4 linked regions of the Anolis sagrei genome follow. The protein of the gene in region 3 interacts with the protein of the main gene of each other region in a biochemical or structural test. Links are inferred from orthologs where the notes say so. Each region holds a gene or a part of one and is shown on either strand. Other genes may lie near its edges.

Region 1 (6,139 bases), on a different chromosome or scaffold from region 3:
TATATATGGCTATCATATCTCCTCTCAGCCTTCTCTTCTGAAGGCTAAACATGCCCAGCTCCTTAAGCCACTCCTCATAGGGCTTGTTCTCCAGACCCTTGATCCTTTTAGTCGCCCTCCTCTGGACACATTCCAGCTTGAAATGCAAGAGGGCGCCAAATTATCAGAAATCAGACCAGAAATCAGAATTAGTTTTGGTATGTAAAAGTAATCAGATTATGCAAAAGGAAAAAAAAATATAACGCTGGGATTTATTTGCCCCAACTGGAGCACACTCATTCATTCAAGTCCTAGCCACAGCGTTCATGTTACTGTATGGTGAATCAACACAAAGGTAAATCCCATTGAGTGGATCTATTCTGCACAGGACTAACAACTAGATTTGGGCCACGATGAAAGCACAAAATTATTATTTTTATTATTATTACTACCTCTGAGGATGCTTGCCATAGATGTAAGTGAAATTTCAGGAGAGAATGCCTCTAGACCATGGCCATATAGCCCGAAAAAACCTACAACAACCCATTATTATTAATAATAATAATAATAATAATAATAATGTTATTCTTATACCCCACCACCATCTCCCCAAAGGGACTCAGGGTGGCTTACATATGGGACAAAATGCCCACAGACATAGATACAAAACAATTTGTCAAAGAAAAACACAATTAAAATAAAGACATAGTATAAAACAGCAATGTTAAAACTCAATTGAAAGTACGCGGAACAATGGCTTCAAACTACAGGAAAGGAGATTCCACCTGAACATGAGGAAGAACTTCCTGACTGTGAGAGCCGTTCAGCAGTGGAACTCTCTGCCCCGGAGTGTGGTGGAGACTCCTCCTTCGGAGGCTTTTAAACAGAGACTGGGTGGTCATCTGTTGGGGGTGCTTTGAATGTGATTTTCTTACTCCTTGGCAGAATGGGGTTGGACTGGATGGCCCACGAGGTCTCTTCCATCTCTAGCATTCTATGATTCCATGATTCTAAAACAATACTCAACAATTGCCAGTAGTACAGTGGGTGTGGCCATGCTATAAAAGGGCTACACATGGTATTGTGCAAGCAGTGTATCATAATTCTGAGTATTGGATGAAGTGCAGAGAACAAAATATTATTAGGGAACCTAGGGACTGGGCATTTAAAACTAGGGACTAGGCATTCTCAAATGCAAACTGAAACATCCAGGTTTTAAAATCTCTGTGAAAGGATGCTTGCCTAATCTCTCTTGGGAGGGAGTTCCAAAGTTGGGGGTCACCACTGAAAAGGCCTTCTCCCTCGTCCCCACCAACTGTGCTTGTGACAGTGGTGGAATCAAGAGGAGGGCCTCCCTGGCAAATCTTAGAGCCCACACCAGTTCATAGGGGGAGATGCGGTCATGAAGATAGGCAGGACCAGAGCTGCTTAAGGCTTTATAGATCATAACCTGCACTTTGAAATGGGACTGGAAACATATCAGCAGCCAGTGGAGTTGGTTTAGTAGGGGTGTCATGTACTCTCTATAATTAGCTCCAGTTAGAAGTCTAGCTGCTGACCTTTGTACCAATTGCAGCCCCAAATGCAATTCAAATGCAGTCTCACATAGAGTGCATTACAGTAGTCCAATCTGGATGTAACTAAGGCATGGTCCACCGTAGCCAAGTCCAACTTCTTGAGGTACAGTCGCAGCTGGCACATAAGCTTTAACTGTGCAAAGGTCCTCCCAGCTACTGCCAATACCTGAGTTTCAAGAGTCAGCGATTAATCGAAGAGGACTCCCAGACTATGGACCAGTGTCCTCTGGGGGAGTGTAATGTCATCAAGCACAGGTTGCCATCCTATACCCCAATTGGTCTCATGAATGACCAGGAGGACCTCTATCTTGTCTGGATTAAGCTTCAGCTTGTTATCGCCCATCCAGTTCATCACAGCTCTGAGGCACTGGTTCAGGATCTGGCTGGCTTCCTTGGAATTAGGTGGAAAGGAGTAGTAGAGTTGAGTGTCATTTTCATACAGATGCACTGAACTCTGAAACTCTGGATGACCTCACCCAGTGGTTTCATATAGATGTTACGAAGCATGGGTGATAGAATGGAGCCTTGCGGGACCCCACAGGTCAATGGCCAGGGGTCCAAGCAGGTGTCCCCTAGCTTCACCAACTGGGTGCGATCCTCCAGGAAGGAGTGGAGCCACTGCAAAGCAATGCCCCCAAGACTTATTCCAGAGAGCTGCCCTAGAAGGATACCATGGTCGATGGTTTCAAAAGCCGCTGAGATGTCCAAGAGAACCAACAGGGACACACTCCCCTTGTCTAGTTCTCTATGGAGGTCATCCACCAAGGCGACCAAAGCTGTCTCTGTATTGTGCCCAAGCCTAAAAACAGACTGTGATGAATCAAGATAATCATTTTCATCCAACAATCCCTGGAGCGGAGGAGCTGAGAAGGGCTCCTATTGTCACAATCTGCAATTGAACTAACAAACTAGATTGTAGGACCTTCTGTGCTGCACTATAAAGTTCCAGGTTAGGTACCCTGGAGTCCAAGGCACAAGTCAAATGTCTCTTTAGTATTAAAAAGTTGATTTATTTATTTTCAGTTCAACTGGAGAAGCTTTTAAGAGGAGCTTGAAGACGTGGTTGTTCCAGTGTGCCTTCCCAGAATAATGATTCCATAGCACTTTGTCCTCTAAAGCATTTTATATATTTAGGTCTGCTCTATCACTGCCCTATCACTTTTTCATCCATATCCAGCTTTATTTTTAATCTTTTAATTTAATTACATTTGGCCTACCCATAGTTTTTAAAGTGTGTTGTCCTATTGATATTGTATGTGTTATTGGTTTACTGTTTTGTTATTTTAAATTGCTTGTATTGTTATTGCTTGTTGTATTTTGGGCTTGGCCTCATGTAAGCTGCACTGAGTCCCTTGGGGAGATGGTAGGTAAAGGTAAAGGTAGTCCCCTGACATCAAGTCCAGTCATGTCTGACTCTGGGGTGTGGTGCTCATCTCAATTTCTAAGCCGAAGAGCTGACGTTCTCCATAGACACCTCCAAGGTCATGTGGCCGGCATGACTGCATGTAGCGCCGTTACCTTCCCGCCGGAGCGGTACCTATTGATCTACTCACATTCGCATGTTTTCGAACTGCTAGGTTGGCAGAAGCTAGGGCTGATAGCAGAAGCTCACACCGCTCCCTGAAATCGAACCTGCAACCTGTAACATTGGCTACTGTTTTGGGGGTTCAGTTGATACACTTATATATTATTACACAAGTAATAAAAATTGCAATGAACTTACAAAGTTTGGCATTCTATTTCCCAGGAAAATATAAAGTTGGCTACTGTTATTGAGGCTTAATTGATGCACTTTTACATTGTTAAAAAGGACAAGGTAAAGGTAGTCCCCTGACATTAAGTCCAATCATGTCTGACTCTGGGGTGTGGTGCTCATCTCAATTTCTAAGCCGAAGAGTCAGCGTTGTCCATAGACACCTGCAAGGTCATGTGGCCAGCATGACTGCATGGAGTGCCATTACCTTCCAGCCGGAGCAGTACCTATTGATCTACTCACATTTGCATGTTTTCAAACTGCTAGGTTGGCAGAAGCTAGGGCTGACAGCGGAAGCTCACGCCGTTCCCTGGAATCAAACCTGCGACCTTTCGATCAACAAGCTCAGCAGCTCAGTGCTTTAACCCACTGATGGTAGCGGGGTATAAATAAATTATTATTATTATTATTATTATTATTATTATTATTAAGGTTATCACTGGAGCAATCCTGAGAATTTTACTTTAGTGAAGCAAAGTTCTATTTGTCAGAGCAGACCTTGCAGAACTACAAACCGCAGAGCCCCATAACATACAGACATGACAGTTCAATTAGTGTTAAAACTACTTTACTTTTACAGCATTGTTGCCACCCCAAACTGGTATTCCTGGTATTGTTGGCCAAGGCAGCTGAGACTTCCGGGAGTTGGGGAGTCCAAAACATGAGTGCTAGATGAACCCTTTAGTGTTCGATTAATAGAATACCTGAAAGTTTCTAAAAGGAATATCCCAAGTTGCAAGAAATGCAATGGCAACTCTTTTGTTGAGAAAGTGGGTGGCTCTTAAAAGAGCCTTTGGGTCTGTTTAGGGACTCCATTGGGAGTTTACTTGGAGCTGGTGTACTTGGTGACAGCCTTTGTGCCCTCCGAGACGGCGTGCTTGGCCAGCTCCCCGGGAAGCAGGAGGCGGACGGCGGTCTGGATCTCGCGAGAAGTGATGGTGGAGCGCTTGTTGTAGTGCGCCAGGCGGGAGGCCTCACCAGCGATGCGCTCGAAGATGTCATTGACGAAGGAGTTCATGATGCTCATGGCCTTGGAGGAGATGCCGGTGTCCGGGTGGACCTGCTTCAGCACCTTGTAGACATAGATGGAGTAGCTCTCCTTGCGGCTCTTTCTGCGCTTCTTGTCTCCCTTCTTCTGGGTCTTGGTCACTGCTTTCTTCGACCCCTTCTTGGCTGCAGGCGCTGACTTTGCTGGCTCTGGCATTGTCAAACTCTCTCTGCGACACACTCACAACAGCAAAGAATTTCAAAGAACTAACCAGCCGACTCTGAGCGCTCTGTATTTATACAACGTCTATGCTAATTAGTAGCTCAGAATTCGCTGTTTCCCATTGGCTGGGGAGAGCGCGTCTCCTATTGGGCGGTTAGAACCACTATGCAAATGAAGGAATTCTTCCATTGTGATTCTATTGGGGGGATATAAAATGCCGCGTTCCTATTGGGCAGAAGAGTAGCCGTGTTTTCTATTGGTTAGATGAACTCAAAAGGAAACAGGCAGCCAATCGGAATTCGCAATTACGAGCCGCAGGAGTGAATAAAAGGCAAGGAAGAGCATTTTCTCTCCATCCGTTTCATTTCAAGAGTAGTTTCTCTTCTTCGAAAGGTTCTTCTCTGAAAGCTTAAATCATGTCTGGACGCGGCAAGCAAGGAGGCAAAGCCAGAGCCAAGGCGAAGACTCGCTCTTCCAGAGCCGGGCTGCAGTTCCCCGTGGGCCGTGTGCACCGTCTCCTCCGGAAGGGCAACTACGCCGAGCGGGTGGGAGCCGGGGCGCCGGTCTACCTGGCGGCAGTGCTGGAGTACCTGACGGCTGAGATCCTGGAATTGGCGGGAAACGCGGCCCGGGACAACAAGAAGACCCGCATCATCCCTCGCCACTTGCAGCTGGCCATCCGCAACGACGAGGAGCTCAACAAGCTGCTGGGCAGAGTCACCATCGCCCAGGGAGGCGTCCTGCCCAACATCCAGGCCGTGCTCCTCCCCAAGAAGACCGAGAGCCACAAGGCCAAAGGGAAGTAAACAAAGCCCTCTTGGTCTCCAGGAGAAAAAAACAGAACCCAAAGGCTCTTTTAAGAGCCACCCACACATTCAGAAAAAGAACTTGATCACTTGGAAACAATTTGCAATCTCCTCCAGGAAATATTGTATCATCCAAGCCCTGATACTAATGGGGGAAATAAAGTGCCAAGCTTTGTAAGTTCGTTACAATTTTTTTCACTTGTGTAACAATGTAAATGTAAAAGTATCAATTAAACCTCAATAACAGTAGCCAACTTTATATTTTCCTGGGAAATAGAATGCCAAACTTTGTAAGTTCATTGCAATTTTTTCACTTCTGTAACAATGTAAATATAAAAATGTATCAATTAAGTTTCAATAACAGTAGCCAACTGTACATTTTCCTGGGAAATAGAGTGCCAAACTTTGTAAGTTCATTGCATTTTTTTCACTTATGTAACAATGTAAAAGTATCAATTAAGCTTCAATAACAGTAGCCAACTTTATATTTTCCTGGGAAATAGAATGCCAAACTTTGTAAGTTCATTGCAATTTTTATTACTTGTGTAATAATACGCAAGTATATCAACTGAGCCCGAATTGTTGTTGTTGTTCATTCGTTCAGTCGTCTCAGACTCTTCGTGACCTCATGGACCAGCCCATGCCAGAGCTTCCTGTCGGCTGTCACCACCCCCAGCTCCTTCAAGGTCAGTCCAGTCACTTCAAGGATGCCATCCATCCATCTTGCCCTTGGTCGGCCCCTCTTCCTTTTGCCTTCCACTTTCCCCAGCATCATTGTCTTCTCTAGGCTTTGCTGTCTCCTCATGATGCGGCC
Region 2 (6,861 bases), on a different chromosome or scaffold from region 3:
TATTATAAAAAGCCAATGGGGGCTCTCTGTTTCCTACCTAAAAAAAAATAATTTTCCTACATCCGGATTTTCCAAGGTTGTGACCTGCCCTCTCTGTGACCCCCTTTCCCCCCAATAAATAAATACATATACAGGGTTAGTCAAAATGAATAGGCCAATAAGAATATTAATTGTACCCGAATTGGCCTATTCATTTTGACTAACCCTGTATAATAATAATAATAATAATAGTCCCCCAAAAATATATATAATAATAGTAATAATAATAGACTCCCTTGGATGCAATGAGTCGGATTAAAGGGGTGGGAAGGCGCATGCCCTTAATCCGAATTACACTTCAAAAGCCTTAATCTGAATTAGTAGGAAGGGGGGGGGGGGAGAGAGAAAAGGCAGAGAGATGATGGTAGGAGGGAAAAGGGGGGCAACCAGCCTCTTAAAGGGATAGCTACTCAAATATACCCTTCTTTTTCATGTCGGTTGACCTTGGGCCCGCCCCGTCGAGGATGCCAATCATTTTTGGGAGGGGGGGGGTTGAAAGAGACTTAAATTTATGGGAAAGTGTGTAGGATGATTAGGATTGGAGCAAATGAGTATGTAATGTATGTATAGCATTGGTTTGTCTCCCCGTCGAGGGTGAATGCATTCATTGCAATCCCAAGGGTAATTGGAGATTGGGGGGGGGGGGGGTCTCCAACATTTGGTTACAAGGGAAGATTCAAAGGGGAGGGGGGTTAGTCTACATTGCAAACCGGTTCCAAAGAGGAAAACAGCCTTTGATTTTCAGCAAGGAAACAACCAACCTCCCTCCTCTTCCTTCTCTTTTCTTCGCCCTCCCCTTCGAGGCAAATGGGTCCAGACCCCTCTAAATTTGTCCCCTTTCTTTCCCAAGTTACTTTTTTCACTCAAAACGGGAGGGGGGAGAGAAATAAGGGTCATCTCAGTTCAAAAACAGACCTCCCCGTCGAAGGTGAAACCAACGTCTATTGTTTTCTTTTGGAGGGAGGGGGAAAGATATAAATAAGCCCCTTCCTCTACAATATGGGGAAGGAAATAAGGTTGGGAATAGGAGAGAATTAAGGAAGACCCTCCTCCTGGTTCCCCGACGGTGCAAAACAAAGGAGAGCAAAGCAAAACATGTTTAGAAAGGGGGATTCTTTTGCTTCCTGTTCAAAGAACAAACCACACTTCAGTCTTGGTCCCATTTGGGGGTCGTTTTAAAGTTATTTCCGTCCAATTATGGCTGGAAAAACCGGATTAAAGGATCCGGAGACCTTCGGAAGGCATCACAAAGGAGTCGCTCCACTTTGGGATCCGGATTCAGGGGGAGAGAAGGGGGTCACACTCCAGGAATACACCTTGGATTGCTTCTAACTCTGTAATTTTCTCTTTGGAAAAGAGACAGAGCCGTCGGAAGTTTGCTAAACTCCGCGAAACCGGCTTTGAATGGGAACTGCTGCTGCTTCTCTTTTCCCCCCCTCCATAAACCGCCCAGGGGCTTTTTGCAAAGCAAATGGCACTCATGGCAAAGCAAAAAAAGGAGGGAAAGAAAGTCCTACTTGCTGCAATGCAAAAGGATCCTACCGTCCCTTCGAAGAAAGGGATTTATTTACATTTTATAATATTATTATTATAGATTTTTATATTACTGGCATTTACAGGAATGCAAAAAAAGGAGGGAAATAAAGTCCTACTTGGTGCAATGCAAAAGTACCCGCCGCCCCTTCGAATAAAGGGCTTATTTACTTTTATTTTATATTATTATTATATATTTTTATATTACTGGCACTCATGGCAAAGCAAAAAAAAGGAGGGGAAAAAGTCCTGCTTGTTGCAATACAAAAGTACCCGACCGCCCCTTCGAAGGAGAGGTTTATTTACATTTTATTTTATTAATAATTATTATTCTATATTATTTTCCCTTCCAAAGACTGGAGGCAACAGGACCACGAGGGAAAGTCCTACTAACTGCAATGCAAAAGCAGTCGACCGCCCCTTCGAAGGAGGTTTATTTACATTTTATATTATTATTATAATATATTTTTACATTACTGGCATTCATGGGAAAGCAAAAAAAAGAGGGAAAGAAAGTCCTACTTAGTGCAATGCAAAACTACCCGCCCGCCCCTTCGAAGAAAAGATTTATTTACATTTTATAATAATATTATTATTATATATTATTTTATTATTTCCCCTTCCAAAGATTGGAGGCAACAGAAGCACGAGGGGAAGAAAGTCCTACTTGGTGCAATGCAATTGCACCCGACCGTCCCTTCGAAGAAAGGGTTTATTTACATTTTATCATATTCTTAAATATTATTTTCCCTTCCATATTATTTTGTTTTCCCTTCCAAAGACTGGAGGCAACAGGAGCACGAGGGGAAGAAAGTCCCACTTGCTGCAATGCAAAAGCACCCGACCGTCCCTTCGAAGTGTTTATTTACATTTTATTATTATATTATTATATATAATATTATAATTATTATTCTACCCAAAGACTGGAGGCAACAGGAGCCCGGCGTCCCTTTGCAAAGCAAGAAGCGCTGCAAACAAAGGAAAGAGGCGGAAAGAAGGCAAGACGGTCCTCGGGGGGGAGGCAAAGAAAGGCAAAAGGATGCACAATAATAATAATAATAATACTATTTCCCACCTTCCTTACCTTGGTGGAGATCTCAGAGCTGGTGTCCACGGCTGTGTCTGACATTGCGAGTGGGAGGTGAGACAGAGAGAGATGGAGGGAGAAAAGAACTCTGTGGAGAGCTCAAAAAAATATATAGTCCTTGCTTGCTTGCTTTCCCTCCTCTTTGCAAAAACAAAACCCAAAACACACACCAGCAGCAGCAGCAAAAAGGTCAAAAAGATCCAAACGCTAGGATTGCAATAATAATAATAATATAAAGTATTTTAGTTATTTAATTATATATATATTTAAATTCTTCTTCTTGCAAAAGGAGCAACAGCAGGAACAATGCAAAGATGGCTTTAGGAAGGAGCCAGTGGAAGGCTCACGCGGCGCCCGGGCCTTTAATATAGAAGAGTGGGCGGCGCGAGGGCAGCCCCGCTCGCCCCTGATTGGCCGTCCCGGGCAGTTCGAAACGCGCTGATTGGCTAAGGCGCGAACAATGGGCAAGGGCTGCTTAAAGTGATACAGCAGCTTTTTTTTTTCCCCCCCTCCTTTCTTTCTAATTTTCCTCTTCCTCCTCCTCCTCCTCCTCTTCTCTTCTTTCCTCCCTCCTTCCATTTCCCTCCCTTTGCTCAGCCAAAGGGAGGGAAAAGGGGGGAGGGGGAGGAAAAAAGGAGGGAGGAGGGGAAAGAGGGCCTTTTATTTATTTATTTATTTTGCAAGACACACAAACAACAGGCATAGTTTCCTCCTCCTTCGCATTGCGGGGTATATCTGGGGTTCGTTTAGAGGGGCATGCCCTGCACTCCTCGTTGGGGGAAATGGGAGGTTGCAAAAGGGGGCAGGCACTCATCCTTTGCCCATTGGGGTGCTTATGGGGGGGTTGCAATAGAGTGCATAGGTTGCAAAAGGGGGCATATGCACACACCCTATTCCTACCCAGTTGTGGATTGGGGTCGCAAAAAAGGGGCAAACCCCCCCCCCATTCCTGGGCATTGGGGGATATGAGAGGTTGCAAAAGGGGGCATGCACTCATCCTTTGCCCATTGGGGTGCTTATGGGGGGTTGCAATAGAGTGCAAAGGTTGTAAAAGGGGGCATATGCCCATACCCCATTCCTTAAGCGGGGTTGCAAAAGGGGGGCATATGCCCATACCCCATTCCTTAAGCGGGGTTGCAAAAGGGGGGCATATGCCCATACCCCATTCCTTAAGCGGGGTTGCAAAAGGGGGCATTTTTGATTGGGGTTGCAAAATGTTGATTGGGGTTGCAAAAAAAAGTGGCACACCCCACACACACACACACAATTCCTGGGCATTGGGGGATATGGGAGGTTGCAAAAGGGGGCAGGCACTCATCCCTTTCCCATTGGGTTGCTTATGGGGAGTTGCAATAGAGTGCATAGGTTGCAAAAGGGGACATATGCACACACACCCATGCCTTAAGCAGGGTTGCAAAAGGGGGCATATAAGGAATGGGGTGTGTGCATATGCCCCCAATAAGCACCCCAATGGGAAAAGGATGAGTGCATGCCCCCTTTTGCAACCTCCCATTTTCCCCAATGCCCAGAAATGAGGGTGTGCCCCTTTTTTGCACCCCCAATTGACAACTGGGTAGGACTATATGATATATTTTATTATATTTATAATATATTTGCCCCCAATGCCCCCTTTTGCAACCTCCCATATCCCCCAATGCCCAGAAATGAGGGTGTGCCCCTTTTTTGCACCCCCAATTGACAACTGGGTAGGAATATATGATATATTTTATTATTTTTATAATATATTTGCCCCCAATGCCCCCTTTTGCAACCTCCCATACCCCCCAATGCCCAGGAATGAGGGGCGTGCCCCTTTTTTTTGCAACCCCAATCAGCATCTGGGTAGAATTAGGGTGTGTGCATATGCCCCCTTTTGCAACCTATGCACTCTATTGCAACCCCCCCCCCCATAAACACCCCTCCCCAATGGGAAAGGGATAAGTGCGTGCCCCCTTTTGCAACCTCCCATATCCCCCAATGCCCAGGAATGGGGGGGGGGTGCCACTTTTTTGCAACCCCAAGTAACAACTGGGTAGGAATATATAATTTATTTTATTTATTATATATTTGCCCCCAATGCCCCTTTTTGCAACCTCCCATTTTCCCCAATGCCCAGGAATGAGGGGTGTGCCCCTTTTTTTGCAACCCCAATCAACATCTGGGTAGGAATAGGGTGTGTGCATATGCCCCCTTTTGCAACCCCGCTTAAGGCATGGGGTGTGGGCATCTGCCCCCTTTTGCAACCTATGCACTCTATTGCAACCCCCCATAAGCACCCCAACGGGCAAAGGATGAGTGCATGCCCCCTTTTCCCATATCCCTCAATGCCCAGGAAAAGGGGGCATTTGTACACACCCTATTCCTACCCAGATGTTGATTGGGGTTGCAAAAAAGGGGCACACCCCCCCCCCCCATTCCTGGGCATTGGGAAAAATGGGAGGTTGCAAAAGAGGGGCATTGGGTGCAAATATACAGGGTTAGTCAAAATGAATAGGCCAATTCGGGTACAATTAATTTTCTTATTGGCCTATTCATTTTGACTAACCCTGTATAATAAAATAAGTTATATGGGGGTTGCAAAAGGGGGCAAATATATAATTAATTAATAAAATATATTATATATCCCAACCCAGTTGTCAATTAGGGTTGCAAAAAAGGGGCATTTCCTGAGCATTGGGGGATATGGGAGGTTGCAAAAGGGGGGCATTGGGGGGCAAATCTATAATAAATAAATAAAATATATTATATGGGGGTCGCAAAAGAGGGCATTTGGACTCCCCATGAAGTTGCAAAAAAGAGTCAAAAGCTTTGCATTGGGTGGCATGGGATGCTAAAAGGGAGCATACACGTGTCTAACGCGGTTTCGACGCGGGACAAACGCCGGTCACAGCAACCTCCCTTTGCGTGTTTCCTTTCCGAGAAAGGGGGCGCGGGCAAGCCGCGCGCGCCCTCCTGCGGCCGCGGGGAAGCATTTGCACGCATCCTGCACGTGTGAACGCGCCGTTTTGCGTGTTTGGGGACTTGCGTGTATTTTGCAAGCCGGGGGATCATTTGTCTTCGCTGCCATAGACACTGCCGAAACGTTTTTGGTTGTCATGGCGGGGAAGATTTCACCACTTTTTTTTTTTTTGTAAAGCAAAACAAAAGCAGACGCTTTGCACGCAAACTCCAAAACTCCACTTTGCAAAAAATAGAAATAAAATAAGAAGGGGGCGGGAAATTCTCAGATGCTGGCTGGGTTTTGGGCGGGAAAAAGCAAGGAAATTCGAGCAATGTTGGGTTTTGTCCAGGTTTTCTATATAATACACACACACACACATATACAGGGTTAGTCAAAATGAATAGGCCAATAAGCCAATAGGCAATGTCTTTTTTGGCCTATTCATTTTGACTAACCCTGTATAATACATACATTATGGATTATATGCATTATGCATGCATATATATATATATATATATATATATATATATGATTAAAATTATATATATAATAAATATACATATATACTCTACACTGTACATATTATATGCCTATATATATATATATGTATATGTATATATATAATACACAGTATTATGTATTGTATACATTACATTTATATTTAATATACTTATTTAATATGTTATATATTATATTATATAGATTAGAATTATTATATTGTCTAATAAATAATATTTGTACTATATTTAATGTTCCATCTTAAAATTGTATATTAAAATTGCATATATAATAAATATATTTATATGTATAAATGTAATATTTAATATATTTATTAATATATTATTTATTTATATATAAATAATATTTAATATATTTATTTAAAATGTTATTTATTACATTATATAGATTTATATTATTATATTGTCTAATAAATAATATTTGTATTATATTTAATATGTTCCATGTTAAAATTATATATTAAAATTACATATATAATAAATATATTATTTATTTATATATATAATTTTTAATATATTTATTTAATGTTATATATTACATTATATAGATGATAAATCACATATATAATAAATATATTATTTATATAAATGTAATATTTAATATATTTCTTTAGTGTTACATTTAATATGTTCCATCTTAAAATTACATATATAATAAATATATTATTTATTTATATATATAATATTTAATAGTTATTTAATATTATATATTATATTATATAGATTAGAAATCACATATATAA
Region 3 (7,014 bases):
TCAGTTCTTTCCATCCAAACTCACAGGCCCATCAATAAACCCATCATTAAAATATAGGAAAGACAGCTAGATGATTTGTCCATGTCCTCATAAACGTAGCAAGACTATCGGAATTTCAGACATTTTGGACTCACAAAGAAACAAACATGCAGTTTAAGAAGAGAATCCATGTTGTTTTCAATGCAAATCTGGTGAAACTGCTTTGACAAAAATGCCAATATGAACACTATTCATCTACATTGGCTACATTCCATTTAGTGGAAATGAAACAAGCAATGGTTCAAATCAGAATATTGATAACATTAAGGAGTAAGGAAGGCTGGCACTGAATGCCCTGTTACATGAGAAAATGAACATACATCCACACTATGATATATACCAGGCATGGGCAAATTTTGACCCTCCAGGTGTTTTGGACATCAACTCCCACAATTTCACAATTGTGGGAGTTGATGTCCAAAACACCTGGAGGGCCAAAGTTTGCCCATGCCTGGTATATACTGTAGCACAAGGCATTGTACAAATACTAAGAGACAGTGTTAACAGAGGTTTCAAGACAACAAATGGCCACACAGGTAAACCACACTATGATATATACCAGGCATGGGCAAACTTTGGCCCTCCAGGTGTTTTGGACATCAACTCCCACAATTCCTAACAGCCCACTGGCAGTTAGGAATTGTAGGAGTTGAAGTCAAAACACATGAAGGGCCAAAGTTTGCACATACCTGGTATATACTGTAGCACAAGGCATTATAGAAATACTAAAGAGAAAAATGGCCAAACAGGTAAACCAGCCAGTATAGATCCACACTATGATATATACCAGGCATAGGCAAACTTTGGTCCTCTAGATTGTTTTGGACTTCAACTCCCACAATTTCTAACAGCCTACTGGCTGTTAGAAATTGTAGGAGTTAAAGTCCAAAACACCTGGCAGGCCAATGTTTGCCCATGCCTGGTATATACCATAGTGTGGATGTAGTAGAGGGCCAAAGTTTGCCCATGCCAGGTATATACTGTAGTACAAGGCATTGTGCAAATACTAAGAGACAATGTTAACGGAGCCTTCAAGACAGCAAATGGCCACACAGGTAAACCAGCCAGTATAGACTGGCTTTCAGCCTCTTCAACGATATGAAAGGCAACAGCACTGAAACCCCACAACTGATTAATGCAGCCAAGTGTAAAAGTGGGTTCATAGAAGAGCAAGAGGAGAGACTACATGGGAGCAAAAGGAGCCCAAGAGGGAAGAGAAGGCTCCCAGAGTGCAGTGAGGGAAAACGAGGGGTATCTCTCCCCAAAACTGACCTGTGCCATCGCTTGCAGAGACAGAGAGAGCCGGTGAGGAGAGTTTAGGCCTCTTGGCTGAAGGCGGGCCCGACTCCACCACATTCTCGGCCATTTTTAATTCTTTTTTAGACAAACAGAGCCCAAATTGAAGACGGGGATCGATCTCCAGTGCCGCAAAAGCCACCTCCTCGGATCAGGAATCAAGTGAACAACAACAAATACGAGAAGAAGAAGAAGAAGAAAAGAACAAAGTTCCTCTTTTTTCTTTCTTTTAATGCCCCTCGGGATCTGTCTCCGTTGGGTAGCAGCAGCGACTAAGAGGGGAGAAAACAGAGATGAAGAAACAGGGTGTGGAAGAAGCAGCAGCAGCAGAAGCAGTCTTTTTTCTCTGGATGCCACAGAGGATCAAAAAGAGTAACAACAAGGGAGCAGGACTTGATGGGTTCCCCAAGCCGGCTCAAATCCGGCTGCGGGGCTGTTGGGGCTTCCTCGCGGCCGCCAACGCCACCATCTTCATCGCCATCCTCCTCGGGGGGGTCGCCGTGGAAGCCAACGCCGTCGTCGTGGTCGCCTCCTCCTTCTTCTTCTCCTCCTCCTGCTGCCTCTTCTCCGCCGCCATCAACCTCTTCCTCCTCGGCGTCGTCCTCCTCCTCCTCATCGCCACAAGGAGGCGGCGGGCGAAGGAGGAGGAGCGGGGGGGAGGAAAAGGCGAAGGAGAACCGTCCCCGCTTCCCCGCCGACGAGATGGCCCCCAGGTGGAGAGGGAGGAGAAGGAAAAGGGGGTCCCCGGCTCCCCCTACCGCCGCCTCCCTGGCCGGCCAGTCAGTCACTACCAATGGCTGCAGGAAAGGAGGATGAAGCAGCAGCAGCAGCAGCAGAGAAGTCCCAGGAGTCCCCGCTTCACATCTTGTTGTGCAGGAACAAGGAGGAGGGGGTTGTTGTCCCGATGGAGGGAGGGAAGGAGGGAAGGAGAGAGGGAGGAGGGCTCTTCTTCCTCTTCTCTTCCTCCTCTACCTTTCCTTCCTTTCTCTCTCTCTCTCTCTCTCTGTGGCAGGGTACCCCCCTTCTGGTCAGGCGGAGGGATCGATCCCAGAGGAGGAGGAGGAAGCTAGGACGGCCCCTCCCCCTCCCTCTCTCGCTCTCCCTCTCGCTGCCTCTTTTCCCCTCCCCGGAAAGAAGGAGGGCGACTGGCTAATGGAGAGCCAGGAGGAGGCGGAGGGAGACGGGGCTCCGGAGCCGAGGCGGCGGCGGTGGTGGTGCCTCAGGCGTTTCTGCTGCTACTCGGAGGGCTCCGTCTCCTGCCCGCCATGGAGGGAGGGAATGGAGGAGGCGCGGAGCCAGGCCACAGGCCCCAAGCCCTCCTCCTTCGGCGCTGTGGGTGGGGTCCCAAGCCCAGGCCGGGAGCAAGACGGGTCGGCGACGCTCTCGGCTGGCCTCGACTCTTCCCTGAACCGAGGAGTGCCCGGATCTCACTCAGCCGTCGTTGCCTTCCTTCCTCCTTTCTTTCCCTTCCTTCTCTCCCCGGTCCCCCTTCTCTCTCTGTCTCTGTCTCTCTTTCTCCGTCCTCTCTCTTCCCTCTCTTCCCTGGAGCCAGTCGCGCTCTCTTCTCTCTTCTCACACACACAAACAAAATGGCGGCTGTTGTTTCTTCACTCTCTCTCTCTCTCTCCCGATTCCTCCGAGGGAAGCCAAGCAGCCGCGGCCGGAAATGAGCCAAGAGGGGGGAAAGGGGGGGCGTGGCCAAAGAGGAGGGAAGGAAGGGAGGGGCAAAAGGGGCGGGGACGGCACGCAGGCTCGCGCACACAATGGAACGCGCGCGGGGCGGGGCCCGAGCTCGAGCCCGAGCCGGCTGCGGTCACGAGGCGAGGGTTTAGGCCACTCCGCTCGCGCGCTCCCCCTTCCGCAAAAAAAAAACAAAAAACCCTGCTCGGCGATTTAAAGGGGAGGGCGCGCGCACGCGCACATCTCTTCCCCTTCTCCCTTCCTCCGCCTTTTTTTCCGTCGGCCAAAATCAGCCGCCAGGTTGAGATTTTAAGGATAGGCCTGTTGTAAAAGGAGGGAGGGGGGAGGGAAGGAGGAGAGTGAGGCAGGCTGGGAGGAGGCCCCGCCGCAGGGACCGCAGAGAGAGAGAGAGAGAGCGAGGCCCCGTATAGATCTAGATATACACACACACGTAGGGATATTATCCAGATTGTGTGCTCTGCCTATACACTGGCCATCGTAAGAATCATAAATCACGGCGCAGCCTGAGGGCGGAGGGGCAAAGGCCTCCTTCCCCTCTTACGCCATTCTCGCCCTGCTTTCCCTGCCAGGACCCAGGCCTCTCCCTTCTGGGATAACAGAAGGCGGCCTGGCAGCCCAAGGTGTCCCGGCCTCCATGCTTGGCCTTCGGGCCGGTCCCGACTGAGGCCGAGAGTGTGTGACGCCGCCCAAGGCCGCCCCACCACACCTGCTGTCTGGCACTCAACACGAAGCAGAGAGTCGCCCTCTCTTCCGCGATCACCAGGAAACCAGAGTATGTCCAGGCGGCAAGAACGCCCTGTTCTTCCTGTGTAGACTAGTTTCTCCGGAACACACACAGCAACACATTTCCCCCACACTTAGAATTAGAGAACCCCATTTTCTCTGCTCAGCCTCAGAGGCGAAGAAGAGGCGGTTTGCAGGGCCCCATCTACAACAACAATAATAATAATGTCACAAATACCACCTACCAGCAGTAAAGAACTGGTGGGATCATGAACCTGCAAAGGTTCATGATGGGCCTGTTGTAAAAATGAACACACAAATGTGAGAAATGAACACGTAAAAACACTGTGGGACTTTCGAATCCAGACTGACAAAGTTTTGGAACACAAGACACCAGACATCACGATTGTGGAAAATAAAAAAAGTTTGGATTATTGATGTCACCATACCAGGGCCCCATCTACAACAATAACAACCATAATAATAACAACAGTCCTAAACACTTAGGAAGTGTCTGACGTGTGATCCAGTACAACAACCAGCAGAGTGATCTTGTCTGCTGTGGACTCATCTTGTTGTGTTTCTAATTATTATTATTATTATTATTACTATCAAACATGAACATGTGAAAACTGTGGTCAGCCAAGAATACATTCAAAAGGTCTGAAAAATTCTCAAAAGCAAGCTCAATGGAGGCAACACCATCAAGGCCAAAAATACCTGGGCCATACCTGTCATAAGATATACTGCTGGCATCATAAACTGGACACAGAACTGGACAATTTGGACAGAAAAACAAGAAAATTCATGACTGTAATTCACTACATCCTCGCAGTGATGTTGATCAGCTCTATCTGCCTAGAAAGTCTGGGGGCAGAGGACTTCTACAAGTCAAAGAAGAAAAACACGTCCTGGCAGAATATGTAAAGGAAAGCCAAGAACCTGCTTTAATTGAAGTCAATAATCAGAAACTTCTCAAAGCACAGCAGACAAAGAATCAGTACAAGATAACTGCACTCCAAACCAGAGCTGACAGCTGGCACAACAAAGCATTGCATGGGCATTTCCTTGACAAAATTGAAGGAAAAGTGGATAAGGAGAAGACCTGCTTATGGCTCACGAATGGAACCCTGAAGAAGGAGACAGAAGGCCTGGTTCTTGCAGCCCAGGAGCAAGCCATCAGAACAAATGCCATTAAGGCCAGGATTGAAAAATCAGCTGATGACCCAAAATGCAGACTGTGCTATGAAGTGGATGAAACCATTGATCATGTCCTCAGCTGTTGCAAGAAAATCGCACAGATGGACTACAAACAGAGGCACAACTCTGTGGCCCAAATGATTCATTGGAACTTATGTCACAAGTACCACCTGCCAGTAGTGAAGAGCTGGTGGGATCATAAACCTGCAAAAGTAGTGGAAAATGAATACACACAAATACTGTGGGACTTTCGAATCCAGACTGACAAAGTTTTGGAACACAATACACCAGACATCACGATTGTGGAAAAGAAAAAAGTTTGGATTATTGATGTCGCCATAGCGGATGACAGCTGCACTGAGGAAAAACAACAGGAAAAACTTGGCTGTTATAAGGACCTCAAAATTGAACTGCAAATGCTCTGGCATAAACCAGTACAGGTGGTCCCAGTGGTCATCAGCACACTGGGTGCCGTGCCAAACAATTTGGTAACAATAAACATGGACAAAATCGCGATCTATCAACTGCAAAATGCCACTTACTTAGATCTGCACACATAATTTGAAAATACATCACACAGTCCTAAACGCTTGGGAAGTGTTCGACTTGTGATTTTTTGATATGAAATCCAGCATATAGATCTTGTTTGCTGTGACATACTGTGCTTTTGTGTCAGTAAAATAATAATAATAATAATAATAATAATAATACTCCTGACCTCACGATTGTGTTAAAAAACAAAGTATGGATTGTCGATGTTGAATCCCAGGTGACAGCAGGATTGAAGAGAAACAACTGGAAAAGCCGACACGATATGAGGATTTAAAGATCAAACTGCAAAGACTGTGGCACAAGCCTGTCAAGGTGGTCCCAGTGGTGATCGGCACACTGGGTGCAGTGTCTAAAGACCTTGGCCTGCACTTAAACACAATCAGCACTGACAAAATTACCATCTGCCAGCTGCAGAAGGCCACCTTACTGGGATCTGCACGCATCATTCGCCGATACATCACACAGTCCTAGACACTTGGACACGTGTGACCCAATTCAACAGCCAGCAGAGTGATCTTGTCTGCTGTGGACTCCGCTTGTTTCAAATAATAATAATAATAATAATAATAATAATAATAATAATAATGGAGCTCCCAGTGGCGCAGTGGGTTAAACCCCTGTGCCGGCAGGACTGAAGACCGACAGGTCGCAGGTTCAAATCCGGGGAGAGGCGGATGAGCTCCCTCTATCAGCTCCAGCTCCTCATGCGGGGACATGAGAGAAGCCTCCCACAAGGATGATAAAAACATCAAAATCATCCAGGTGTCCCCTGGGCAACATCCTTGCAGACGGCCAATTCTCTCACACCAGGGGCAACTTGCAGTCACTCCTGACACGACAAATAATAATAATAATAATAATAATAATAATAATAATAATGTTCATCATTGCAATGAACCCACTGTCAGTAATTCTACAGAATTACTACAGGGCTGTGTGGAAGGGCCCTAGGAATGGCCCTTCAATGCAATTTGATAATCAGCTTCCAGCATCTATAAATCACAGAAAACTGTTCTCTCACATTTAAAAAGTTGGGTTTTTGTGTTTATTAAGATTTATATAATACCAATAGATAAGAAACAACCAAAATAGCAACGTTTTTATTTTAAGTGTTTCACTTTCATGGAGGTTCTGTGTCCCCAGTCCCAGGGCCCTTCCACAGAGTCATATAACTCAGATTATCAAGGCAGGAAATCCCACAATATCTGCTTTGAACTGAGTTATCTGAGTCCATGCTGCCATATATTCCAGATATTTTGCCTTGATATTCTGGGTTATATGGCTGTGTGGAAGGGCTCCCAGTGAATGCAGAGGGCTGACTGTGCATTTTGTAACAGGTATGGACACATTCACTCTCAAATAGCTTTGAATGTAACTCTAAGAAGTCCTCTCAAACATAGTCAAATGTAAAATATTATGGTAACTATAGTACAAAACCTGTGACGTTCAAAATTCCTCTAACCCTGTGTTATATGACATCACTCTTTAGTGACTTTCTTCCTA
Region 4 (6,977 bases), on a different chromosome or scaffold from region 3:
TTTGTTGCTTCCAACTACTGTATGCCCATGGGAGAAAAGTGGTATATAAATAAAGAAATAATGCATGTGTATACAATGCATGTGTGAGATATATATGTGTGTGTGCGCACGCGCATTGTATGTATAGATCTATGCATGTTTGTGTCTAAAGACATGCACATACAATGCATGTGCATTGTGTTTGTGTGAATATATATATATATGCATTGTTTATGTGCATGCATGTGTGTATAGATCCATGAATGTTTGTGTCTAAAGTCGTGTGCATAAAATGTGTGTGCATTGTGTGTGAGAGAGATATGCATTATATGTATACTGTAGATGTATGCATGTTTGTGTCTAAAAGTATGTGAATACAATGCATGTGCATTGTGTTTGTGTGAGTATATATATATATGCATTGTGTGTATCTATGTGGATGTATGCATGTGTGTATAGTTCTATGTATGTTTGTGTCTAAAGGCATGTACATACAATGTGTGTGCATTGTGTGAGAATATGTATGTTGATATATGCATTGTGTTTATGTGCATGCATGTGTGTATAGATCCATGCATGTTTGTGTCTAAAGTCGTGTGCATAAAATGTGTGTGCATTGTGTGTAAGAGAGATATACATTATATATATATACTGTAGATGTATGCATGTATGTGTCTAAATGTATGTGAATACAATGCATGTGCATTGTGTTTGTGTGAGTATATATAATATATGCATTGTGTGTATCTATGTGCATGTATGCATGTGTGTATATATCCATGTATGTTTGTGTCTAAAGGCATGTGCATACAATGTGTGTGCATTATGAGTCTATATATATGCATTATATGTATAGATGTATGCATGTTTGTGTCCAAAGGCATGTGAGTAATGTGAATACAATGCATGTGCATTGTGTGTTTGCATTCTGAGTATATATGCATTGTGTGTATAGATTTATGCACGTTTGTATCCAAAGGCATGTGCATACAATGCATGTGTAGTGTATGTGCGCATTATTTGTATCTATGTGCATGCATGCACATATAGCTTGTATTTCAAGGCATATGCATACAATGTGCGTGCATTGTGTGTGTTTTGTTTTCTGAGTATATATGCATTGTGTATGTGTCTATTGTTTGTATCTATGCGCATGCATGCATGTGTATATAGCTTATGCCTAAAGACATGTGCATACAATGGGTGTGCACTGTGTTTGTGAGTATATATATATAGAGAGATGCATTGTATCTATGTGCATGCCCGAGTGTATAGATCTATGCATGCTTGTGCATTCTGTTTTTGTGTGAGTATATATATATCAGAGAGAGATGCATTGTATGTATGTGCTTGCATGTGTGTATAGATCTATGCATGCTTGTGCATTGTGTTTGTGTGAGTATATATATATATATATCAGAGAGAGATGCATTGTGTATATGTGCATGCATGTGTGTATAGATCTATGAATGCTTGTGCATTGTGTTTGTGTGAGTATATATATACAGAGAGAGATGCATTGTATGTATGTGCATGCATCTGTGTATAGATCTATGCATGCTTGTGCATTGTGTGTTTGTGTGAGTATATATATATACAGAGAGATGTATGTGCATGCATGTGCATGGTGTTTGTGAGTATATATATAGAGATGCATTGTGTGTATGTATGTATGTGCATGCATGTGTACAGATTTATGCATGCTTGTGCATTGTGTGTGAGTATATATTATTTACAGAGAGAGAGAGATGCATTGTGTATATGTATGTGCATGCATCTGTGTATAGATCTATGCATGCTTGTGCATTGTGTGTTTGTGTGAGTATATATATATATACAGAGAGATGTATGTGCATGCATGTGCATGGTGTTTGTGAGTATATATATAGAGATGCATTGTGTGTATGTATGTATGTGCATGCACGTGTACAGATTTATGCATGTTTGTGCATTGTGTGTGAGTATATATTATTTACAGAGAGAGAGATATGCATTGTGTATATGTATGTGCATGCATGTGTGTATAGATCTATGCATGCTTGTGCATTGTGTTTGAGTGTGTATATATATATATACATACAGAGAAATGCATTGTGTGTATGTATGTGCATGCACGTGTATAGATCTATGCATGCTTGTGCATTGTGTGTTTGTGTGAGTATATATATATATATACAGAGAGAGATGTATGTGCATGCATGGTGTTTGTGAGTATATATATAGAGATGCATTGTGTGTATGCATGTGTATAGATTTATGCATGCTTGTGCATTGTGTGTTTGTGTGAGTATATATATTTACAGAGATATATATGCATTGTGTATACGTGCATGCATGTGTGTACAGATCTATGCATGCTTGTGCATTGTTTTTGTGAGAGTATATACACAGAGAGAGAGAGAGAGAGATGCCTTGTGTGTATGCATGTGCATGCATGTTTGTGTCTAAAGGTGCATGCATATATATATATAGAAAAGCATGCCTCTGTGTCTGTGTGTGTGTGTGTGTGTGTACACACCCATCTCCAAGCATCTAGGCCTTTCCCCCGAAGCTTTGCATCCAGCCCTCCTCCTGGACAATGAATGCACCAAAGGGACACCAAAATAGGAAGGGAGGGAGCCAAAGGAATCACCCCGAGGGAGGGAGGGAGGGAGGCCCGGGCCCACTTACATGCCGCCGAGGGAGGAGGAGAAGAGGAGCTGAGGCCTAGGAACGAAGGAAGGAGGGAAGGAAGGAAGGAAGGGCTGCAACCTCCTCCTCCTCCTCCTCTTCGTCCTTTCCTTCTGCTGCTGCTGCAGTTGCGGCTCCGGCGCGAGGGATCAGCCCATGGAAAGCAGAGCAGAGCAGCCAAGAGAGGGAGGCAGCAAAGGAAGCAGGCAGGCGGCGCGCGCTGCGGGTCTCTGCTGCTGCTGCTGCCGCTCTTCTCCTCCTTCTTGTTGCCTCTGCCGCCTTGGCTCCTGCGGCGGATCCCAGTTCCTCCCGCTTCCCTCCTTTGACTCACTCGCGCCCTGGGTGAGTGTGTCTGCGTGTCTCCCTCTTCCACCCGCCCCCCGACGGCGTCCGCGCGGTCCTAACGCCCGCCTGTTCTTTCCTCCTCTTATTCCCATCCTTTTTTGTTTTTTAATTACAATCCTTTCATTTTTCTTATTTTCACTTAAAAAAAAACAAAAACAAACCGCTTTGAAGAATATTTTATATTTAGTTTTTTTATTTTATTATTTTCTAAATACTTTTATATTAGGATACTAATTTTTTATTACAATACTTATTTTTCTTATTTTTCTCTTTTTCCCATCTTTTTAAAATTACAATCCTTTCATTTTGCTTATTTTCACATTTTTTAAAAAAAACACCCTCATTTAAGAATATGTTAGATTTAGTTTTGTATTTTATGATTTTTTTCAATACTTTGATATTAGGATACTATTTTTTATTACAATACCTTTGTTTTTTCTTATTTTTCTTTTTTCCCCAACTTTTTTTTATTACAATCCTTTCGTTTTTCTTATTTTCACTTTTTAAAAAACACTTTTAAGAATATTTTATATTTAGGTTTATTTTATTTTATTATTTTCTAAATACCTTTATATTAGGATGCTAATTTTTTTATTACCATACTTTCATTTTTTTTCCTCCTCTTTTTTCCCCATCTTTTTTTTTAAAAAATTACAATCCTTTGATTGAGTATTTAAAAAAAAAACGCAAAAATTACAACAGCAAAACGTCCCCGCCGGCTTCACAAGCACGCCTGGCGGGGACGAGAGACAGGGCCTTCTCAGTGGTGGCCCCTCGGCTGTGGAACGCCCTTCCTGCAGATATTAGATCGACCCCCTCCTTGCTGGCATTCCAGAGGAAAGTAAAGACCTGGCTGTTTGAACAGGCATTCAACTAAGCACTGTGATTGATTGACTGACTATCGGAACACGGAATATCGGATAACGAGTTTGGATTCTGATTTCATTGAGGAGACCTGATGGATTTGTTATATTGATGTAGTGATGTATTGATATTGATGTTTAATGATTTGTGATGCTATTGCTTTTAAATGCTTAATGATTTTGTATTGTGCCACATCATGAGGAGACAGCAAAGCCTAGAGAAGACAATTATGCTGGGGAAAGTGGAAGGCAAAAGGAAGAGGGGCCGACCAAGGGCAAGATGGATGAATGGCATCCTTGAAGTGACTGACTTGACTCTGAAGGAGCTGGGGGTGGTGACGGCCGACAGGGAGCTCTGGCGTGGGCTGGTCCATGAGGTCACGAAGAGTCGGAGGCGACTGAACGAATGAACAACAACAAATACCTAAATTGTTGTAAACCGCTCTGAATCGCCTAAGGGCTGAGAAGAGCGGTATACAAATAAAGTTAATAAATATACAAATAATGGTATCCTTGAAGGGACTGGCTTGACTCTGAAGGAGCTGGGGGTGGTGACAGCCGACAGGGAGCTCTGGCGTGGGCCGGTCCGTGAGGTCACGAAGAGTTGGAAGCGACTGGGTGAATAAACAACAACAACGAAATACTTTTCTGTTAGGATACTTTTATCTTTACTTCTGAATACTTTTGTTTTCATTGTTCTTCCTGTTGTTATTTGTAACACTTTTATTTATTTATTTATTTATTTACTTTGCTTATATACCGCTGTATCTCAAGCCCGAAGGCGACTCACGGCGGTTCACAAACAGTAAAAACAGTAGAAACAGCAGTGATTCCATACAACATATAACAATTGACTTAACACATTATCCATAAATTACCAATAAGCAATTACAATGCACAATTATTGGTAATTTATGGATAATGTGTTAAGTCATTTTTTGCTTTTATGGTAATATTTTTTATTATTTATTATATTTAGTTTTTATTCTGTCTGAGATTTTGTAATGCTTTTATTTTTATTATGATGCTTATATGTTAGGGTACTTTTTAAGCTTTATTTTTGATTTTATAATATTTTCTTTGTTCTTCTTATTGTTATTGGAATACTTTTATGCTTATTATAATTTTTGTTTATTATGTTTAGTTTTTCTTTTCTTTTTTCTTTTATGATACTTCTATATTAGGATACTTTTATATTGGGATATTAGGGTACTTTTATTTTATTAACTTTATAATCTTTTTATTTTCATTGTTCTTATTTTTATTGGAATAATTTTATTTTTATGATAATATTTTATTTATTATCTTTTGTTTTTGTCTTTCATTTAATAATACTCTTATTTTTATGATGATACTTATTTAAGTTTTAAGTTATTTAAGTTTTATTTTTGGTCAATTTTTATTTAGTATTAAGTTTATAGTTACGCTGTCTTATATTGTTTGATGTATCCTGTTTTGATGTAATTTGTTTTTATGTCTTTTTATTGGCATTCAGTGTTTGCCATATATGGTGGAAACCTCCCTGAATCCCTTCAGGGAGAGAGGGCAGTCTACAAATAAAGGTATTATTACTATTATTATTATTATTATTATTATTATATTAGAATGCTTTCATTTTGATCTTCATGTTGTTTTTGGTTTTATAATTGAAATACCTTTGTTTTATTATATCTTTATTTTTATCTTTATACTGCTTTCATTTTTATTCCAGTACATTAAATTTCATTTTTTCTATTGATAAAATACTTTTGGTTTTGTTATATTTTATATTTTGTTTTTTTATTTATACTTTTTCATTTTTCTTATTTTTATACAAATGCATTTAGTTTTATTATAATGTTTTATACTGAGTATCTGTTTGATTTTTTAATTTAAAAATATTCTTATAGTTAGTCTTAGGATACTTTCATTTTTAATCTTTATTTTATACTTTTTATTTTTTATTATTATCCTTCTTATTTTTATTATTATGCTTGTTTTCATTGATTGACTTACATACTTTGATATTGTCCAGCCTTGCTCCCAATTTACGGACTCAAAGCTGCAGATAGCAAACATGACACAATGCAATTATTTTTATTACATTATATTATTTTATGTGACTGGCTTGACCTTGAAGGAGCTGGGGGTGGCCACAGCCATCAGGGAGCTCTGGCGTGGGCTGGTCCATGAGGTCACAAAGAGTCAGAGGTGACTGAACGAATAAACAACAACAACGATTTTAAAAATTATTTTAATTGTGACACTATTATTTTTATATTTATTATATTTTTATTTTATTATACTTTTATCTGTTATTATTATTGCGCCAACTCCACTGGCTGCCGACTTGCTACCGGGCTCAATTCAAAGTGCTGGTGTTGACCTTTAAAGCCCTAAACGGTTCCGGCCCAAGCTACCTTTCCGACCGCATCTCGGCCTATGAACCCACCAGGACTTTGAGATCTTCCAGGGAGGCCCTGCTCTCGATCCCGCCAGCTTCACAAGCACGGCTGGCGGGGACGAGAGACAGAGCCTTCTCGGTGGTGGCCCCCCGGCTGTGGAGCGCCCTTCCCACAGATATTAGATTAGCACCATCTCTAATGGTCTTCCGCAAAAAAGTAAAGACCTGGTTATTTGTGCAGGCGTTCGAATAATTAGTGCAAGACTGGTAATGACATAGGAATGGAACAATGGATAACACATTTGGATCATGTTTTTAGTGACGAGACGCTAGTGAATGGTTATCATAGTAATCGTGTATTGTGTATTAGATTAGGGTATTAATTGTTTATATTGGTGTTTGAATTCTGCTGTGTCCTGTGTCTTGTGAACCGTTGTGAGTCGCCTTCGGGCTGAGAACAGCGGTATAGAAGCAAAGTAAATAAATAAATAAATAAATTGTTTTTATTGTGATACTTTTATTTATTTGTTTTTTTACTTACTTTGGTTGAAGCATCTTCCGCAGAGTCCACTGCAAACTCTGCACAACCAATCTGTGTAAATGTCTAAAACAGCCACTAGGTGGCATTCAGAAACCTTTTACTGTTGCCACATTTTTCATCACCCCATTTAGTTGGGATCAGGACCCACAGTTTAAGAAGCATTGGTCTAGAACAGGGGTCCTCAAACCTTTTAAAC

The links.
Region 1: of the proteins of EP300 (region 3) and histone H2A type 1-E, one has a biochemical effect on the other in vitro, tested with the Homo sapiens proteins (8 studies listed by BioGRID, with this or other methods). The link is inferred for Anolis sagrei from reciprocal best matches to the Homo sapiens genes EP300 and H2AC4.
Region 2: the proteins of EP300 (region 3) and PTMA form a complex in vitro, tested with the Homo sapiens proteins (2 studies listed by BioGRID). The link is inferred for Anolis sagrei from reciprocal best matches to the Homo sapiens genes EP300 and PTMA.
Region 4: of the proteins of EP300 (region 3) and AKT1, one has a biochemical effect on the other in vitro, tested with the Homo sapiens proteins (3 studies listed by BioGRID, with this or other methods). The link is inferred for Anolis sagrei from reciprocal best matches to the Homo sapiens genes EP300 and AKT1.

The regions. Positions count from the first base shown.
Region 1 is NC_090026.1:11,267,491-11,273,629, forward strand, and holds histone H2A type 1-E, read left to right. Parts: upstream 1-4,844; 5' UTR 4,845-4,935; coding exon 4,936-5,325; 3' UTR 5,326-5,625; downstream 5,626-6,139. Other genes in the region: histone H2B 5-like, read right to left, coding at 4,133-4,513. UniProt on the Homo sapiens protein: Core component of nucleosome. Nucleosomes wrap and compact DNA into chromatin, limiting DNA accessibility to the cellular machineries which require DNA as a template.
Region 2 is NC_090023.1:266,613,925-266,620,785, reverse strand, and holds the start of PTMA (prothymosin alpha), read right to left. Parts: upstream 3,009-6,861; 5' UTR 2,702-3,008; coding exon 2,648-2,701; intron 1-2,647.
Region 3 is NC_090025.1:161,827,753-161,834,766, forward strand, and holds the start of EP300 (histone acetyltransferase p300), read right to left. Parts: upstream 3,020-7,014; 5' UTR 1,406-3,019; coding exon 1,312-1,405; intron 1-1,311. UniProt on the Homo sapiens protein: Functions as a histone acetyltransferase and regulates transcription via chromatin remodeling. Acetylates all four core histones in nucleosomes. Histone acetylation gives an epigenetic tag for transcriptional activation.
Region 4 is NC_090021.1:328,325,231-328,332,207, reverse strand, and holds the start of AKT1 (RAC-alpha serine/threonine-protein kinase), read right to left. Parts: upstream 3,021-6,977; 5' UTR 2,650-3,020; intron 1-2,649. UniProt on the Homo sapiens protein: AKT1 is one of 3 closely related serine/threonine-protein kinases (AKT1, AKT2 and AKT3) called the AKT kinase, and which regulate many processes including metabolism, proliferation, cell survival, growth and angiogenesis.